3 linked regions of the Macaca fascicularis genome follow. The protein of the gene in region 1 purifies or fractionates together with the protein of each later gene. This does not show direct contact. Links are inferred from orthologs where the notes say so. Each region holds a gene or a part of one and is shown on either strand. Other genes may lie near its edges. The genes, in order: EZH2, MTF2 and PHF19.

Region 1 (7,316 bases):
CTGTCACCTTAGCAAATGTTTTCAGGTTGATTTGATTTGTAAATGTAGAGCCAGAAAAATTTACAAATGGACTATCTGCCCTAATCTCCCCATACCTCCACCTCACATGTTTAAAAATGAGAAACGTAAGGGTGCAGTTAGATTATGCTTCAAAAATTGTGTACAGGCTCATGTTACATTTTGTTACCTTAACATTTTGTTACTTTAACAAAAATAAGTGTAGGGCCAACCCAATTTAGAATTTTTTTAAAGTCAAGGTTTTTTTTCCCATAGGAATTTAGGCTTTAGGTGATGCTTCTTAAATTTTGGTTGAATTATTTCTGACCATGTAGTCCACTTGATTGGTTTATGATGCCTGAAATTAGAGGAAGTGATGAGTGTCATCCACATCAGAATAAATCAACAGGCAGACACACCAGCTGCTTTGTGCGGCATTGGGAGCTCAGGAGTTCTGACCAGGAGTCATGGATGAACACAGGAAGTGACGTCTTGCCACACCTGGGGCAGCCTGAGCCATCAAGCTGTTTGAGTTGCTTCAAACTGATGGCAAATATAAACTGGGCAGGGCATGACTCTTGGCTTTAACGCACTGCTGTATTCATGGCACGGACAGATCCAGTTAAGCAGCTCTCGGTTGGATTTGCAGCGTCCTGCAGAAGTTTGGTTTCATTTTCTTTGTGTTTTTGCAGGTTGTGGGCTGCACACTGCAGAAAGATACAGCTGAAAAAGGGTTAGCATCTTTCCATTCCCCTCATTATTAGCTTAACAATGTCTGCTCTGTTTTCATTTGTTTTAGAATAGTAACTGGATTAGAGCTTGGGTTATTCTAATGTAATTGCCTTCTCTACATTAAACCAATTCGAATGGAGAATGTCTATTGATGAATCCCCAGTCAATTCTCTTCTGTAAAGTGGAGGCTGACTGGAAGGTATGAGTCCGAGTCGGTTGAAGGAGAAGTGCTTTGGGATGGGACTTTGATGTAGCCACGCTGTATCTAGATGGAACTCACAAGCACCTGGGGGTGGGAGAGTATTTTTGCCATCGTTTTGGAAACCGGAATATGTGTAACGTTACGCATTCAGTAAAGGCAGGCCAGCTACCCTCCACAGGTAGTAGGGAAGAATGTACTCGTGTTAATTGTGTATGATCGTTTCCATCTCCCTGGATTCATTGGCCTGCATGATGTTATCTTTACTCAGACGGCTCCTCTAACCATGTTTACAACTATCAACCCTGTGATCATCCACGGCAGCCTTGTGACAGTTCGTGCCCTTGTGTGATAGCACAAAATTTTTGTGAAAAGTTTTGTCAATGTAGTTCAGAGTGTAAGTATTTGTTGCTTTGATGGAATTGCATGAGAACTAAATAGGCCTTTGGTTAGCAATTTAAAAAATCAAAAATAAGAACACGGGAGCACTCCCTTGTTTACTTGACGAAACTCATGGATTTGACAAGTATTTATTGAGCCCCATACCTGGCCCTGTGCCACTGGCTGGTCAGTCGCCTGGGTGTTGTGTGTCTATGTGTGTGAGGCAGGCAAAGTTGTATTAAAGGAACCCGAATTTTATTTTTTTTCTTCTTTGATCATTTAAATTAAGTTGTATTAAAGTCGGCACAGATTGTAAGAGGAATCTAGAAGGAGCTACTCAGATAATTTTTGGACACCAGAAATTGTCAGAGTTAGGAGGGTTTTAGTCTTCAGAATAAAGGAATGTAGCATAAACGCAGTGGATTTTTATAATTGTTTAATGAGACTGCACATGAAGCTTGAGTACTAAGGGAGTGTTTAGAACTAGGGGCTGTGAGAATGGTCAAGGACCATGGATATTGTTTCTTCACACTTTATTCACACTTACTTTAAATATATACACTGTTTAACAAATGAAAAATGGAAAAACTCAGTGGTGGTCTTTTTCATACAAACAGCTTTAACTTCGCTGTTAATACTTCCATTTCCTTGTCTGTATAGTAGGGCAATAAGGTGGTTGTGAGGGTTGAGAGTCAGCCAGATGCTCAGTACACCCCTTGCCACGTATCTTTCTGCAAGTTTTTGCATATGGTGATGATGGTGATGGTGGTTATGAGTGAAGAACCTCCAAACCTCTCTCTGAAGGTCAAAACCGCTTTCCGGGATGCCGCTGCAAAGCACAGTGCAACACCAAGCAGTGCCCGTGCTACCTGGCCGTCCGAGAGTGTGACCCTGACCTCTGTCTTACTTGTGGAGCCGCTGACCATTGGGACAGTAAAAATGTGTCCTGCAAGAACTGCAGTATTCAGCGGGGCTCCAAAAAGGTGAGTAACAGTCGCTTCTGGAAGATTGGTAGTAGTTAGCTATTTAGTGATGCAAATGTCAGGATTGTCTTAGATGATTTAGCTGGGGCAAAAAGTAAAAGTGATCCTTGAAAGGTGCAGCTGATGAGAAAGTGTTGATAGTTTTCGCTGGATAGTGCACCCTTGGGCAGTCTCTTCAGTTTTCTATAGAGCACTGTACTCCGATAGTAGGAGAAACCAGCAAATTCTGAGAAGTAGCCATTCATGGTATCAGATTTGGAATAAGATGTATTTTTTCTAGCGGTTTAATAGATTATTTGAATTTCTCTTTTAGTTAATAAAACTAGTAGTTTAGTATCCTTAATGCAAATAAATGGTGATTTCTATCAAAATATAGACTTATTCTCATCAAAGAGTATAGATTCCTTATTATGTAGAGTAAAAGATGAAATTTCCCATGGCAGGTTTTTATAGACTTACTTCCTGTTTGTTTAATAACTTTGAGGCCGGGCGCAGTGGCTCACGCCTGTAATCCCAGCACTTTGGAAGGCCGAGGTGGGCTGATCACGAGGTCAGAAGATTGAGACCATCTTGGCTAACATGGTGAAACCCTGTTTCTACTAAAAATACGAAAATATTAGCCAGGCGTGGTGGCGGGTGCCTGTAGTCCTAGCTACTCGGGAGGCTGAGGCAGGAGAATGGCGTGAACCCAGGAGGCGGAGCTTGCAGTGAACAGAGATCGGGCCACTGCACTCCAGCCTGGGGGACAGAGCGAAACTCTGTCTCAGAAAACAAAACAAAGAAATAAACAAAAACCTTGAAAAAAATCCAGCGAGGAATTCTGTATTTTTAGTGTGGGGAATTGTATGTAGATGGTTTAACTCTCTGAGCCCGGAAGTATGACTGAGTGAAAGAAACTCCAGCAGCATGTGTTTGGGGAATCCTTTTTTTTTTTTTTTAAAGGCAGATAAGGTCTTTCTTCAGTTCTTTTTATAATAATAGCTGACATTTATTAAGCATGTAAAAATAGCAGGCACTGTTCTAAGTGCTTTAGTGGATTCGTTCATTGATCCTCCTAACCCTGTGAGTGAGGAATAAGTGTTAACCCCGTTTTACAGGTAAGGAAACCCAAAGTCACAAGACTTGTAAAGGAGCAGGAGATCAAATCCTCCAGGCTCCCATTACCTGCCCTTATGCTGTGTGTGTGTGTGTGTGTGTGTGTGGTGTAGAGTAGACATATCTTTGTTGTTGGACCATTTATTTATAATTGAGATCACACTTCCTACCAGCAGGTCCCCTTCTACCAGAAATTGTGCTCCAGGCAAAACACTGAAGTTTTCTTGGTTTTGTTTCCTTATGTTTTTGAACCAAAGTCTGTGTTTATGGCAGAGAGCTGTGCAGGGTCGTGGAGAGCTGTGCAGGGTCGTGGGTTTTTTGTTTTTAGCTGTGACTTTTTTCTATCAGACATTTAGATCATTTTACTCTAGGCAGTTATATGTCCATTTAGGTCACTGGATCACAGTGACGCTGGTTCAATTTCCGATGGCATACCCGCTCAGACCTAAAAATCTCAATTTCTCCCCTAAACAGCTTACCATTGTACTCCTTCTTGACTTTGTTCAGAAAGTGGGTACTTCTATTCATACTGACATGTCCTCTTTATAAGACATTTTTTAACTCTGAAAAATGTTAAACTATGTAGATACTTTTTACCAGTTGGGTTTCATTTGCACAGCAGTAGTTAGCTGTTTAGTTTCTGATCAGAAGGATATTTGGGAAGTTCACCTGACAGGTGAGTGGTAAGATGGTCCAGAATAGGAATAGATTGGAAGCTTAGGTGATCAGGGAAGCCTTTGTAAAGGTCACAAGAAAATTTTGGATGAAAGCATAATAATGAGCCATGATGAAAAATTGGCATATGTTTGGGAACACATCCCTAAATACATAATTTACAGCAATGATCATCTCGGCATTTCTGCTGAAAATAGACTACTGGACTGACAAGATCATGGTAATCCCTCCCAATAGTTTCTTGTGTTATCCTGAGGAGGTGGGGTGGAAGAACAAATCCAAAGCCAAGTTGCCATGGGCTTCAGAGGGAACCAGCACCAGCGAAGAGTCAGGGGTGTCCTGAGGCTGAAAATGGAATAATGTTAATAGAAATCACTTGGGGGAAGTAGAGGGAAAGGTATGGAGAAGAAGAGTGATTTGGTGCTGTCCTTAAATTCAGGTTGAAAGTAAATTATTCGAGGAAATCAAGGGCTGAAGAAACAGGGAAGCCAAAAGTGCAGCAGGCCTAGAGCACCTTGCTGAATGATGGTCACTGCAGAGGACTAACACCACCAAAGGGTTTTCTGTAAGACAGAGATTCTTATCTGCTGTATGAGAAAAGCATAATGTTCATAGCCATTCTCAGCAGCTTTCACATTGACTGAAGCTGTGTGTTCCATTACTGCCTTAGAACAGGTCTGAGGATTTACAGTGATAGCTTTTGTTTTCATTCTGTAGTCTGCTTTGTCCCCAGTCCATCTTCACCCTCCTTTTTTGATTGTAATTGTGTTTTATTCTCTAGCATCTATTGCTGGCACCATCTGATGTGGCAGGCTGGGGGATTTTTATCAAAGATCCTGTGCAGAAAAATGAATTCATCTCAGAATACTGTGGAGAGGTAAGGCACTGATTACCTATATTCAGGTGGCATTGTATATACTAACTTTTCTTTATTTTAGATTGATTTTATTAGGTCAGTCTGTGGGTTTGATTGGGAATGAATTGCCATAAACTGCCTTTTAAGCCTGGACGTCTGCATGTTTGTGGATTTGCATGCTTAGTAACTGGATTGTGCTGGGCGCGGGGGCTGACTCCTGCAGTCCCAGCACTTTGGGAGGCTGAGGCACGTGGATTGCTTGAGCTCAGGAGTTGGGAGACCAGCATGGGCAACATGGCGAGACCCCATTGCTACAAAAAATGCAAAAATTAGCCAGGCATGGTGGTGCATACCTGTAGTCCCAGCTACTTGGGAGCTGAGGGAGGAAGATCGCTTGAGCCTGGGAGGTTGAGGCTGCAGTGAGCCATATTTGTGCCACTGCTCTCCAGCCTGGGCAACAAAGTGAGACCCTGTCTCAGAGGAAAACAAAACAAAACAGGATTGCTTGGTTCTAGCCACATTCAGCTTTTCTCATCTATGGTCAGCAGGGAGAACAGGAGCTTTACCATAGAGTGTCCTGCTTAATCCACAACCTGGTTGATAAGGATGTAGAAACAACAGTGTCATTAGTTATTCACCTTCTAAATTGTTGAGTTACCGAAAAATCATAGGGCTAGCTTCAATTTGGAACCAACTCACCCCAATTTTTTTTTTTGAGATGGAGTTTCGCTCTTGTTGCCCAGGATGGAGTGCGATGGTGCGATCTTGGCCCCCTGCAACCTCCGCCTCCCAGGTTCAAGCGATTCTCCTGCCTCAGCCTCCCGAGTAGCTGGGATTACAGGCATGTGCCACCACGCTCAGCTGATTTTGTGTTTTTAGTAGAGATGGGGTTTCTCCATGTTGGTTAGGCTGGTCCTGAACTGCCGACCTCAGGTGATCTGCCTGCCTCAGCCTCCCAAAGTGCTGGGATTACAGGCGTGAGCCACTGCGGCCAACTTGTGTGTGTGTGTGTGTGTTTTTTTTTTTTTTTTTTTAAGCTCAGCGAGAAGACTTTGGTTCCTCACTTTCTCCAAGGATAATTACTTCAGGATGTGGAAATATTTCTGAGTTGGGGTCCTTAATATACAGTTATTCTTAGATTTATCAGTGTGCAGACTGAATGGGAAAGAGAACTTGGCTGTAGTGACCCTTTTTGTTTTCTTCCGAAGGTCCAGTATTCACTGTGTGTGCTTTTGCATGTGCTGTCAGACTTGATCACCTTTATCCAAAAGAATTTTCTCTTGTGTCTTTCTTTTTAGATTATTTCTCAAGATGAAGCTGACAGAAGAGGGAAAGTATATGATAAATACATGTGCAGCTTTCTGTTCAACTTGAACAATGGTATGTATCTGAGCTGGGAGGCAGTGAGTTCCTCTGAGTTGCATGTGGCAGCCTTCTGCCTGCCAAGTGTTCAGAAACGAGGGTGGAGGTCAGTGAGGTGACCAGAAGGAGGATCTCCTTAGAGGCATCGGGGGCTGCTTGCTTGAAAGGAACTGGAGCAAGGAATTCCTCAGGGAGCAGATGGACTAGGTGTGCAGGAAACCGCCTCTCTGAAGCCCTGGCCATCTGTGAGTGGCGCTGTACCAGTGTCTGGCTGTGACGGGGATGTTGTGCTCTTGCTGCCTCACCTCTTGTGTTCAGGCAGCTCAGCTCACCTCCTGCAGTCAGTGCCTCGGAGCTGGGAAGGAGGGGAGGAGCCAGACTCCCCTGGATATTCTCAAAGGACTGGGAGGAAAGGCAGTTGCTTTCATAGCTGATGTTCTGGGGTAGAATGTAAGTCTGTAGGGATATTTCTGGTGGGATTGTTCTGGTGGGAGGTTGGCTTAACATGTAAGATATTCAGAGAAACTCTTAGTTGGAACAAGTAGAATAGATTTTTTCTAGGAATGCTTTATAGACATTATAAAAAAAACTAATGTTAAATGAATTGATGTTCAGAAGAATTTTGTCAGATTCTTTTTAATTTTTTTTTTATTTTGCTTAGTAATGTATGTTTATAGTTGATAATTAATAGCTTTTGTGTCAGATAACCATCTTGAATTATAGGTGATTAATTTTAACCTGGAACAATAGTGTGTTCTTCCAAATGTCATTTCTTACTGAATGAAGTTGCTTGAATGATTTATTTGCTTTTGCAGGCAAACCCTGAAGAACTATAACCGGTTGCATTTACAGAATCATAATAACTTGATTTACTTATAACTGAAATTATTCACTGGGCTCATTTTCCTCTTTTTAGATTTTGTGGTGGATGCAACCCGCAAGGGTAACAAAATTCGTTTTGCAAATCATTCGGTAAATCCAAACTGCTATGCAAAAGGTAGGTATCTTTGACGTCAGAATTGGAACTCCCTTTTTA
Region 2 (7,316 bases), on another chromosome or scaffold:
TTTTCTTCTGCCCTGATGAGGTTTACATACTAGTGGACAACAAAGGTGATAAACAAGTAAAATAGTTACTGATTATGCTAGTGCCATTTTTAATAGCATACTGTTTTAGACTTTACTATGGATAGAGATGGGACCTTTGTACTTTAATGATGAGGCTTAAGGAAGGACTATTTAAGATAATATTTAAATTAAGACTTAAAAATGAGAATGATATAACAATGTGAAAAACAAAGGGAAAACTACTCCAGCTAGCAGAAATAACAAGTGCAAAGGCTTTGAAACGTATTCTAGGAACTCACAGAAGACTGATGTGTTATAAATGAGGATGAGAGAGTAGTAGCATCAGGTATTGGAAAGATTAGGTGAGACTTGATCCTGTGTAGGGTCTTGTAGGGCTTACAGAGAATTTGGGTTGTTTTCTAAGAATAAAGGGGAGGCATTTAAGGGATTTAATTATCTTTTAAAAATACTCGGCCGGGTGCAGTGGTTCACGCCTGTAATCCCAGTACTTTGGGAGGCCAAAGCAGGTGGATCACCTGAGGTTGGGAGTTTGAGACCAGCCTGACCAAGATGGTGAAACCTCATCTCTACTATAATTACAAAAATTAGCCGGGCATGGTGGCGTGCGCCTGTAGGCTCAGCTACTCGGGAGACTGAGGCAGGAGAATCACTTGAACCCGGGAGGCGGAGGTTGCAGTGAGCCGAGATCGCGCCACTGTACTCCAACGTGGGCAACAGAGCGAGACTCTGTCTCAAAAAAAAAACAAAACTGTTTTGGATGCTGTTTTGAGAATGGGTAGTATACAGGTAAGAATAAAAGCAGGAGAAAATTAAGACTCAGTTTTCTAGCTGAGAGATAGATAGATGGTATGAGGTACAGAGGTAGGTGGTAACATTCAAATGGAAAGAAAACAGATTTGAGGTCTTTATTGGAGTTAGAATTAATTGGATTTGCTAGTGAATTAAATTTCTGAAAATAAAGAAGGAGTCAATTAAATAATGCCCAGATTTCTGGCCTGAGCAACTGATGAGGGGTTAATCAAGATCTGGAAAAACAGATTCTGGTATGGTGAATGAAGCATTCTTCTGTTTCATATTCATTGAATTTGAGATTCTTATGAGGGATACACACACACACACACACACACACACACACACACCCCTCATACACACAGAATGAGTGAAATACGGGCAATTGGATGTGTAATTTAGGAGCTCATAGGAGAGTTCTGGACAGGCGATACAAATTTGGAATCTGATTGATAAAGCCATGAGAATGAGTGAAATTACCGAGGGAGCAAGTAGAGAGAGAAGAGAAGGTGGTCTGGGATCATGTCCTGATATCATTTGTAAATTTGGAAGAAGTGAAATAAGCAGAGGAGACTAAAAAAGAGTGATCAGTGAGATGGGAGGAAACCAAGAAGTTTGATGTCATGACAACCAAAAGAAAGGTAGTGTTTCAAGAAAGATAGCTATATTAAAGTGTATTGAATGCTAGTGAGGTAGATTAAAATGAAAGAAAAATATTTATTGCATAACATTTTGTTATTAGTGACCTTGACAAAAGGAATTTCTTTGAAGTAGTACAGATAGAAACCAGATAGGACTGGGTGGAAGTATGACTGAATCCAGCATTGCCAAATTTACATGTCAAACTGTGCTTCTCCTACATATCAGGGACACAGGCAGATTCAAAATAATAACAGTAGTGAAGGAAAGGAGGAAAATAGGAAACTATCTTTAAGGATTCTGAATGAGAGGGGAGAAAATGGAAAGCGTATTATGTCATCAACACCCAGAAGTTTTCCTGTATAGGGAGGCTGACAAATGGAATGACAGCTGAAGAGGGGGATAGGACTAGTTAAATGATGGTTTTTTTTAAAATAGTTGGGAGATAGTTGGAACCTGTTTTTGTGTGTAAGTAGGAATGATCCATTGGAGAAGAGGAAATTGGTATAGGAGAGTAGAAGCCAAAAGAGAAGGGATATAGAGCCTAAATGTGGGACTCGCCTTTTCTAGAAGGAGAAACATCCTTCTGTTGAAATGGGGTAAAAGAGAAGATGGGTACAGATGCTAGTTCTGTTATAGATTGGGCAGTTGGAAATTGACTGAAGTTCTTGCCTGGTAGCCTCTATTTTCTCGATGAAATATAAGGTAAAGATAGCAGAGAGTCTTGTACAGAGATGGGAATTTGAGGATCAATTAAAGGTATGGAATAGTCATCTTGGAGATAAGGAAAATGTGATTACAAAGCCTTGACAATGAGTCCAGTTATTTGAAGTTTGTAAGAAATTAGCTGCTAATTAAGTTTTCTTTCCTGAAGGAAAGAATGCTTATTATTCCTATCACTTTCAGATTTGGTCACTCAAATCCTTTGCTAGCAGTTGCCATATTATGAATCAGAAAAAAATAATTCCACAAGCTTTTTCATTTCTATCATGATTGTGATAGGATGCTCCCTTTGTGGTAGCTATCAGGTCATCTGATGCCACCAGATAAGGATTCAGCTGCTTTGTTTAAAGGCATCCTGAGTTCCTTCTGGACCTTGTGTATAAGTTGTTCCTTTTAGTTAGAGGTTACTTTCTTTAGTCCAGGAGTCCTTTATAAATATTATGTTGATCATTTTACAAAAGAAATGGATATCCCATCCATCTTGTTCTTGAGACTTTTGATTATAGTGTCTGGTTCTGCTTTGTCGTTATAGTTCCCCTACTTTCTCCTTCCTCATAGTTCCACCTTTATTCCCTGACCTTGTTTGGCATCTAGAGGGATAAGTTTTTTTCCTACTTTCTCCATTCATCTCTTTCTAGGCTATTATATAGTGTTCTTTTTTCCTCTCCTTAATTAAAGTTTCCTGGACAATTTTCTCGTAGCCCTCACTCCATTTTATTAGCTTGCTTGTATACACATTTGTCACTTTCTAACTATATTGTGAACTCTTTAGCACCAGGAACACCTTTGTATCCATATTATCTAATATCGTCTTTATATGGTAGCTATTGTTGAGTAAATGAAATATTCTTTCTATATATATTTTTTATTTTTTTCTATTAATTAGAGTGTCTTTGCCTGTTGCACTTTTTTCCTTCCTATTGCTTGGAATTTGGCTTTATGTTTAAAATATGGTTTTCTAGGTCTTTGTGACCTAGAAAGACCTTTTGAATGACTCCCTGAGAATATGAAGGATTTCTTACTCCTTTCTTCTTTACGTTCTGCCACTCTGGGCTTCATTCTCTTTCTGATAGTGTCATTCAAGAATCTACATATATATCTAAAGGCAGCCTTTATGACTACTATAATTTTAACATAGCTATTTCTTGACTCCATTAGGTTAACTGCTAAATTCATAGTCATTTTTAGTAGTAAATCCTTGAAACATCCTCCACGTTGTAACAACCTAAAATTAAACTATATAATTGAGCTTTTAGGAGTTTTGAAATCTTCCATTCAGTATAATTGTCTGGTTTTTGTTGTTGTTGTTTTTAAATCTTTAAGTGGTATATATTGTTCAGAATTATATTAAAGAGGACTTTTTTAAACCTTTCATAATGGTTTAAATATCTTTAAAGTGAAGAAATATTTATTTAAATTAGAATATATTATCAATGCACTTGATTAAACTTGTGGATTCAATTAATAATTTTTATATTACCATTAATATAAAATAGTAAAATATATGTGTATATATGTCTAGTTACGTACATAGAGTCAATGTCTTTGTTTTCTTGATGCAGAGATTAAATGCATAATGGTTTTCCATTTCAGGGAAGTAAGCAATGGCATAGAAAAAAAAGGAAAGAAAAAATCTGTAGGTCGTCCACCTGGCCCATATACAAGAAAAATGATTCAAAAAACTGCTGAGCCACTTTTGGTAAGAGGATATGTTGGTATATGTTCTCAAGAAGAAGGATGCGTGAAATAACTGAGAAGCTAGTATTTTTTTCAGCTTATTCTAGAGACATGCTTTAAGTATATATTTTTATTTTCCAGGATAAGGAGTCAGTTTCAGAGAATCCTACTTTGGATTTACCTTGTTCTATAGGGTAAATAGAAAGTTATTTTCTCCCTTTCTAGGTTTTGTCTTTTGAGTGGATGTTAATATTTCTGTTTGTTATATAATATAGTCATTACACAATTTAAATTCTTTTGTCTCAGGAGAACTGAGGGAACTGCACATTCATCTAATACCTCAGATGTGGATTTCACGGGTGCTTCCAGTGCAAAAGAAACTACCTCGTCTAGCATTTCCAGGCATTATGGGTAGATATTTTAGTTCTTATTTTTTTTACTTTTCTTATTCTAGATTCCTTTTCTTTGTAAAGTGTTGATTGAATAATTTTTTAGCAATTGAAAGTGATGCAAGTTGTGTCTATCAGCTTTTTGAGCGGTAATCTAGATGTAGATCCCATTAGTTGTTAATATTCATTTGAATATTTTTGCTTTCTAGAGTACAAACATTGTATTTTTCAAGTTTGTATGGAAATTTGCTGTGAACACAGAGAAAAAGTATACCATTGTTTAGAAGCTGTGCTTGTTAGGCTTTTTAATGCCTCTGCTTACACAAGTGTTCTTTGCTTTAGAAAGATTTGATTTTTTTATTTTTTAAGAGACAGATTCTCATTCTGTTGCCCAGGCTAGAGTACAGTGGCACAATCATGGCTCATTGCAGCCTCAAACTCCTGGCTTCAAAAAAGTCCTCCCACGTCAGCCTCTGTAGTGACTAGGACTAGAGATTGTGCCACCACACCTAACTAATGCTTTTTTATTTTTTGTAGAGATGGTTTTGCTAAGTTGCCCAGGTTGGTCTTGAACTCCTGGCCTCAAGTGATCCTCCTGTGTTGGCCTTCTCAAGTGCTGGGATTACATGCATGAGCCATTGCAACTAGCCAAGATTTGATTGGGAAAAAGAAAAAAAAAAAGAATCAGACACCTAAATCCTTTTGTCCATAAAATGATTTTAAACTTAGGATTTTTATCTGATATTTAATCCAGCCCTTCAGAAGGACATTTTTGTTTATTGGTTTTTTTTTTTTTTTTTTTTTTTTTGGAGACTACTCTGTCACCCAGGCTGGAGTGCAGTGGCATGATCTTGACTCACTGCAACCTCTGCCTCCCGGATTCAAGCGATTCTCGCGCCTCAGCCTCTCACATAGCTGGGATTACAGGCGTGCGCCACCATGCCCAGCTAACTTTTTGTATTTTTAGTAGAGATGGGGTTTCACCGTGTTGGCGAGGCAGGTCTTGAACTCCTAAACTCAAGTGATCTACCTGCCTCGGCCTCCCAAAGTGCTGGGATTACAGGCGTGAGCCACTGCGCCCAATCAGGACAACTTTTCTCTAAAGCATGTCATGTCAGGTATGAAAAGGTTAATCTGTTTGGGGTCAGAGCTACTATTTTCAAGTTTTTTACTTTGTTCTGTTTAAATTTTGTTCATAATTCAAAAACTGCTATTGTAAATTATGCAAAATTCTACATTAAATGCTTAAAGTGTAACCCATTTATTAACGAATTCTGAATAATTGACTTTTTTGGGCCTCTTACTAGGTACTCTGCTAAGCTTTTTATGTATATTATCGTATTTAATTCTTAAAACAATTTTTTGGCTGGGTGTGGTGGCTTATGCCTATAATCTCAGCACTTTGGGAGGCCAGGGTAGGAGGACTGCTTGAGGCAAGAGTTTGAGATGAGACACCATCCCTACAAAAGAAAAAAGTTATCTGGGTGTGGTGGTGCTGTCTGTAGTCCTAGATAATCAGGAAGCTGAGGTGGAGGATTACTTGAGCCCAGGAGGTCAAGGCTGTAGTGAGCCATGATTGTGCCACTGCACTGCAGCCTGGGCAAGAGAGTGAGGCCTTGTCTCAGACAAACAAAAGAGAACAATTTTTTGAGTTGTATAAGTCCTGTTGTTCTCATTTTACAGATGAGGAAACTGAGACTTAGGGGATTTTAAGTAACAAGCCCAACATTGCATGTTTAGCAAGTATAACAGAGCTGGATTGTTAATTTATACAGTATGACTGTGGGTCTTTCAATTTAGTTGTTGTGCTATATTCTCCTTTTATTATAAAATCATAAAATAATTGAATTTCTGTGCTGAAAAGGACCTTACAAATTATCCAATCCAACCCCTTCACTCAGTAAGTGAACATAGAGAATAAGATTTGAATTTGGCCAAATAATAGAGTTAGAGATAGACCCAGGATACTCTGACTGCTAGTTTGTGCTTATTCTGGTGTATTACTTCACTAGGCCTAGAACTGGTAATAAGAGAACCTCTATTCTAGTTCTACTCTTCAAGGACATGGAACAGTGTCATAGATGTAGTTTGTGTTCATTCATTATTTGTTCCAATGAAAAATAAATGAGCTCTTTTAAATGATGAGATTATTGGCAATACATGATTTATGAGTAGGGCCTCTTGATAAGAATTTTTCCTTGTTGGCCTCCTAAGTAAAAAAATTACCCTCAGCTTACTAGTAAAGGAAGAAAAGCTCTACAAAGTTCAGCCCCAAGAAGGTGACAAAATCTAAAGTAAGGAGCACAAGTGATAGTCCATTTATATCGCATTTATTGTTTGAGTTTGGCTTATTTTTATGTCATCAAGGATATATGGTATAGTAGAATAATCCAAAAAAGAGAACATATTGTGTGGGCATAGGATGCTTAAAAAGCTTAGCAGACAATTCTGGCCTTCTCTGTTAAATAGATTATCTGACTCCAGAAAAAGAACGCGTACAGGAAGATCTTGGCCTGCTGCAATACCACATTTGCGGAGAAGAAGAGGTCGTCTTCCAAGAAGAGCACTCCAGACTCAGAACTCAGAAATTGTAAAAGATGATGAAGGCAAAGAAGATTATCAGTTTGATGAACTCAACACAGAGATTCTGAATAACTTAGCAGATCAGGAGTTACAACTCAATCATCTAAAGAACTCCATTACCAGTTATTTTGGTGCTGCAGGTAGAATAGCATGTGGCGAAAAATACCGAGTTTTGGCCCGTCGGGTGACACTTGATGGAAAGGTGCAGTATCTTGTGGAATGGGAAGGAGCAACTGCATCCTGACTGTAGGACTGAACATTATGTTCACTGCACTCTGATTTTCTGTAGGTACAGTTCAAAGCCCTAAAGGAGTCTGGCTTTTACTATCTTTCTTAAAAAAAAAGAAAAGTCAAAAAAATTCAAAAAAGGGGATGATACTAGCCTTAACATGTACCTGTCAATGTTATGGATATTGTCATAAAAAGGTATCTTTTAAAAATCAGAACAGAGACTTAATTTTTTAAATCTTAAGATTTGTAGAATGTTTCTAGGGT
Region 3 (3,600 bases), on another chromosome or scaffold:
AGTGAGAGACTTACAGGCATGCCGGGTTAAAAAACAAACACGTAAAAGATCGTTCCCTGCTCTTACAATCTAGTTGAGAGTCGGGCCATAAAAAGGGACCCTAGGCCAGGTGTGGTGGCTCACGCCTGTAATCCTAGCACTTTGGGAGGCGGAGGTGGGTGGATCACCTGAAGTCAGGAGTTCGAGACCAGCCTAGCCAACATGGTGAGACCCTCCTCTGTACTAAAAATACAAAAATTAGCTGGGCGTGGTGGCGGGCGCCTGTAATCCCAGCTACTCAAGAGGCTGAGACAGGAGAATTGCTTGAACCCAGGAAGCAGAGGTTGCAGTGAGCCGAGATTGGGCCATTGCACTCCAGCCTCGGTGACAAGAGTGAAACTCCATCTCAAAAAAAAAAAGGACCCTAACACATAAAGAGATTTTTGAGGTGTTAAACCCAAACCAACAAGGTGGAGAGTCTCATCCCTCCCTCCACCATCAGTCCTACAAGGTTAAGACATCTGACAGAGAAGGAGCCTTTGTCAAATTGGTAGTTCGCAAAAATAAAGGTTGTGTAGCTTTTAATCTAAAATTCTACCCCAACACTAAGTTCCGTAACTATTTTGATTAATATATTCTTAAGGATTTAGCGACTCTGTGTGTGTGTGTGTGTGTGTGTGTGTGTGTGTGTGCGCGCGCGCTTAGACGAAAACAGAAACGGTTCCTTAAAATACCCAGTTTGTGAAAGCAAAGGGCCTGGAACCACTTAGTACTATCACTTTGATCAAGTACTATCAAGTACTATCACTTGATTGCTTCAACCCAATAAGCTTGGGAGAGCCTGGCACTGTGCTAGGATCTTCTGGAGAAATCCAAGAATGGTAAGACTTGGGTTTTACTGCTCTTCACCTCACTACTCGGATCTCAGGCAGGCAGGGGACCAGGGTGGGGGCTCCAATTCCCGGTTCGTGTTTGTTTTTTCAGGGGGCATTTTACTGAGCACTAAATACGCGCAGGTGCTGCACTAGGTGCCAGGAGCCCCGCACGCGGAGGAGCGGCGTGCACGCGTGTCAGTTAACTGGGCGCACAGTGCCCGTGGCGCCGCAGACCCAGCCCTCGGACTCAGTTTCCCCGCATGGGGATCGCTCGCCCCGCCCGCGGCGGGCCGCGGAGCAGCAGCCCCCCGCCCCGGCCCTGCCTTCCAGGTTTCCGCCCGCGCGGCTGCGTCCTCCACACTCCACCGGAAGCTCCCGGCAGGGCCGCGGGTAGGTGGTGGCGGAGGCGGCGACGAGGTTGGCTGCTCTGCACCCCTGCCCCAGGACAGCAGGGCGGCTCCCCGGCCCCCTTCCTCGTCCTGGACGCCCCGCTCCAGCTCCCCCTCGCTGAAGCGGGGACTCCCCGGGCGCAGCCGGGGACATGGAACCTCGGCTGCAGAGCCGGCCCCTGGACTCACTGCCCCCAGCCCAGCGGCAGGCGCCCCGGCCGCCCGGCGGCTTATTCCTGCTTCCGCGGGCACCGGCGCTGCCTGACTCCCAGCGCTGCGCTCGCAACTGGATATGTTGAGGTGGCGACGCGACGCTCCCCCGCCCTCGGGAGGGATCACCGACTGGGCTGGGGGCTCAGACAGGCAACCCGGCCTGCAGAGCCGGGCGGCGGGGGCTGTGCTGGCGCCGGCAGGCGAGAGGAATCACAGAGCGGGGCGCCCAGCCTCATCATGGGGCCCACAAAGACTTCCCATGGGAGTGGGGTCTAGTGCAGGGGCGCCCCGAAGGACGAGTGGGAGATGGGGACACGCGGCGCAGAGAGACTTCTCGTGGATGGAGCCGATGGAGGCCCAGTGTGGAAGAGAAAGGGGTCAAGGAGACGAATAAGGAGCCACCAGAGACGCAGGGGGAATTCCCCCCAGAGGATGCGGGAAGCCGGGGAAAGGAAGGGAATCCGGAAGGAAGGGCTGAGAGCCGGTCAGGTGCTGGCAGAAGGGCTGGTTGGATAGAGACTGGGACGGGCCCAGAGCATTTGGCGTCCTCGACATTCATATACACTTGGAGAGATGATTCCCTGGAGATCCAAGTGCCTGTATAGACAATCTTTTCTAGGGGTTCTACAATTAAGAACCCCTAGGAGAGGGGTTCTTAAGTGAGGAGAGGGTAGATGTAGAAATTGGAGACGAGAATAGAGTGTTGTAAAGGCATGCGTGGTTAGAGAACTGGCTCTGGATTCAGGAGTCCCCACTCACTAGCTGTGAGACCTTCAGCAAGTCACTTAGCCTCTCTGTGCCTCGGTTTTCTCATCTCTAAGGTGGGGATGATGATGGCCATACCTGCTTCATAGAGTGACAATTAGATGAGATGATGTCTGTAAAATTACATAACACAGCACCCAAAAGTAGTACTAGTTATTTTTCCCTTTTCTTATTAGAGCAGCTTGGGCACATTTTGATGTCCGTGGGAATGAACAGGTAGAGTGGGTGGTATTGAAGCCAGAGGGGAGAGAAGGGACCCACAGATGGGGAGAGAAGTCTTGGGTGTTTGTTTTATCTCAAACCCCAGGGAAAGGAGGGAACAGGTAGGGCTGTAGGAAAGTTTGCAGCTATGGGGTACACAGTTAAAGGGAGTGTCTTCTCATGGTCTTGATGCAGGCCTGGAGGTCGTTTGCTATAGGGGTGAAGGTCCTGATGTACACTGTGGCTGTAAGATGCCGTGCCCTCTTTGCCACCAGCCTGTGGCAGCCCCGGTGTTACACCAGGGCAGGTGGGCAGTTTAATGTATCTCAGGTCCGATGACCTGCACTGCCCACCTGTGAGGCTCCAGTAGATAGATGTGAAAACACAGTGTAAGCATAATGTCCCACTTTCATCCTTTTCTCTGAGGAGCTGGAAGGCCTGTAGTCACCATCTGAGCCAAATGTCAAAGTCTTTCAAGTACTTCACTTGGGCTACACACCACACTTTGATCCACGATCTCATTTAGTCATCACAACAGTTGGGTGAAATAGGTATTATTGTCCCATTTTACAGATGCAGAATCTGAGTTTCAGAGAAGTTAAGGACTTTGTCCCAGGGCCCGCAGTTAGTAAGCAGTGGACCCAGGATTTCAACTCAGCTCTGTCTGACCTCAAAACCCATGATCTGAAACCAATGTGAAAGTTTGCAAAACCTCTGTAGCAGCTGAACTCGATGGAAAGATATGTAGGGATCATCTTCTCCATTTAATAGATGAGACAAGAGCTGGGTACTCTGATCTCCATCAGAGATCACACGCACAGAGCTTGGGGCCCCACAGCCCTGGAGTGAATCCTGCTCCACCACCAGAGGCTGTGTGCCTTTGGACCAGGCATCTTGCTTCTCTGACCCTATGTACAGCTGCAGAAGAATTCCTTGCAGGTTGCTGTAAGGATTTGGAGGGAAACTGTTGCCCAGCACACAGTACACATGCCAGGAGCCATCGTTTCCAAGGTGTACTTCTCCTGCAAACGTGGATCTACGTCCCACTTGGCTGCTGAGACCAGCTGCCGTGATCTTGTAGTTGTTTAATGCTTTGTTCTCCTTGAGGCAGCAAAGTGGTGGCACCTGACCGGAGCATGTAGCCACCTATGACTTCCTGAGTGGGGTGGTGCAGGGAG

Evidence for each region.
Region 2: the proteins of EZH2 (region 1) and MTF2 purify together in Homo sapiens (affinity purification with mass spectrometry; 10 studies listed by BioGRID and IntAct, with this or other methods). This does not show direct contact. The link is inferred for Macaca fascicularis from reciprocal best matches to the Homo sapiens genes EZH2 and MTF2.
Region 3: the proteins of EZH2 (region 1) and PHF19 purify together in Homo sapiens (affinity purification with mass spectrometry; 10 studies listed by BioGRID and IntAct, counting the BioPlex papers as one, with this or other methods). This does not show direct contact. The link is inferred for Macaca fascicularis from reciprocal best matches to the Homo sapiens genes EZH2 and PHF19.

The regions. Positions count from the first base shown.
Region 1 is NC_088377.1:190,465,015-190,472,330, reverse strand, and holds part of EZH2 (histone-lysine N-methyltransferase EZH2), read left to right. Parts: intron 1-689; coding exon 690-730; intron 731-1,199; coding exon 1,200-1,325; intron 1,326-2,113; coding exon 2,114-2,292; intron 2,293-4,843; coding exon 4,844-4,939; intron 4,940-6,216; coding exon 6,217-6,298; intron 6,299-7,196; coding exon 7,197-7,277; intron 7,278-7,316. UniProt on the Homo sapiens protein: Polycomb group (PcG) protein. Catalytic subunit of the PRC2/EED-EZH2 complex, which methylates 'Lys-9' (H3K9me) and 'Lys-27' (H3K27me) of histone H3, leading to transcriptional repression of the affected target gene.
Region 2 is NC_088375.1:141,293,573-141,300,888, reverse strand, and holds part of MTF2 (metal-response element-binding transcription factor 2), read left to right. Parts: intron 1-3,765; coding exon 3,766-3,871; intron 3,872-3,990; coding exon 3,991-4,043; intron 4,044-4,155; coding exon 4,156-4,260; intron 4,261-6,707; coding exon 6,708-7,065; 3' UTR 7,066-7,316. UniProt on the Homo sapiens protein: Polycomb group (PcG) protein that specifically binds histone H3 trimethylated at 'Lys-36' (H3K36me3) and recruits the PRC2 complex, thus enhancing PRC2 H3K27me3 methylation activity.
Region 3 is NC_088389.1:37,054,343-37,057,942, forward strand, and holds the start of PHF19 (PHD finger protein 19), read left to right. Parts: upstream 1-1,211; 5' UTR 1,212-1,244; intron 1,245-1,246; exon of another isoform or gene 1,247-3,600.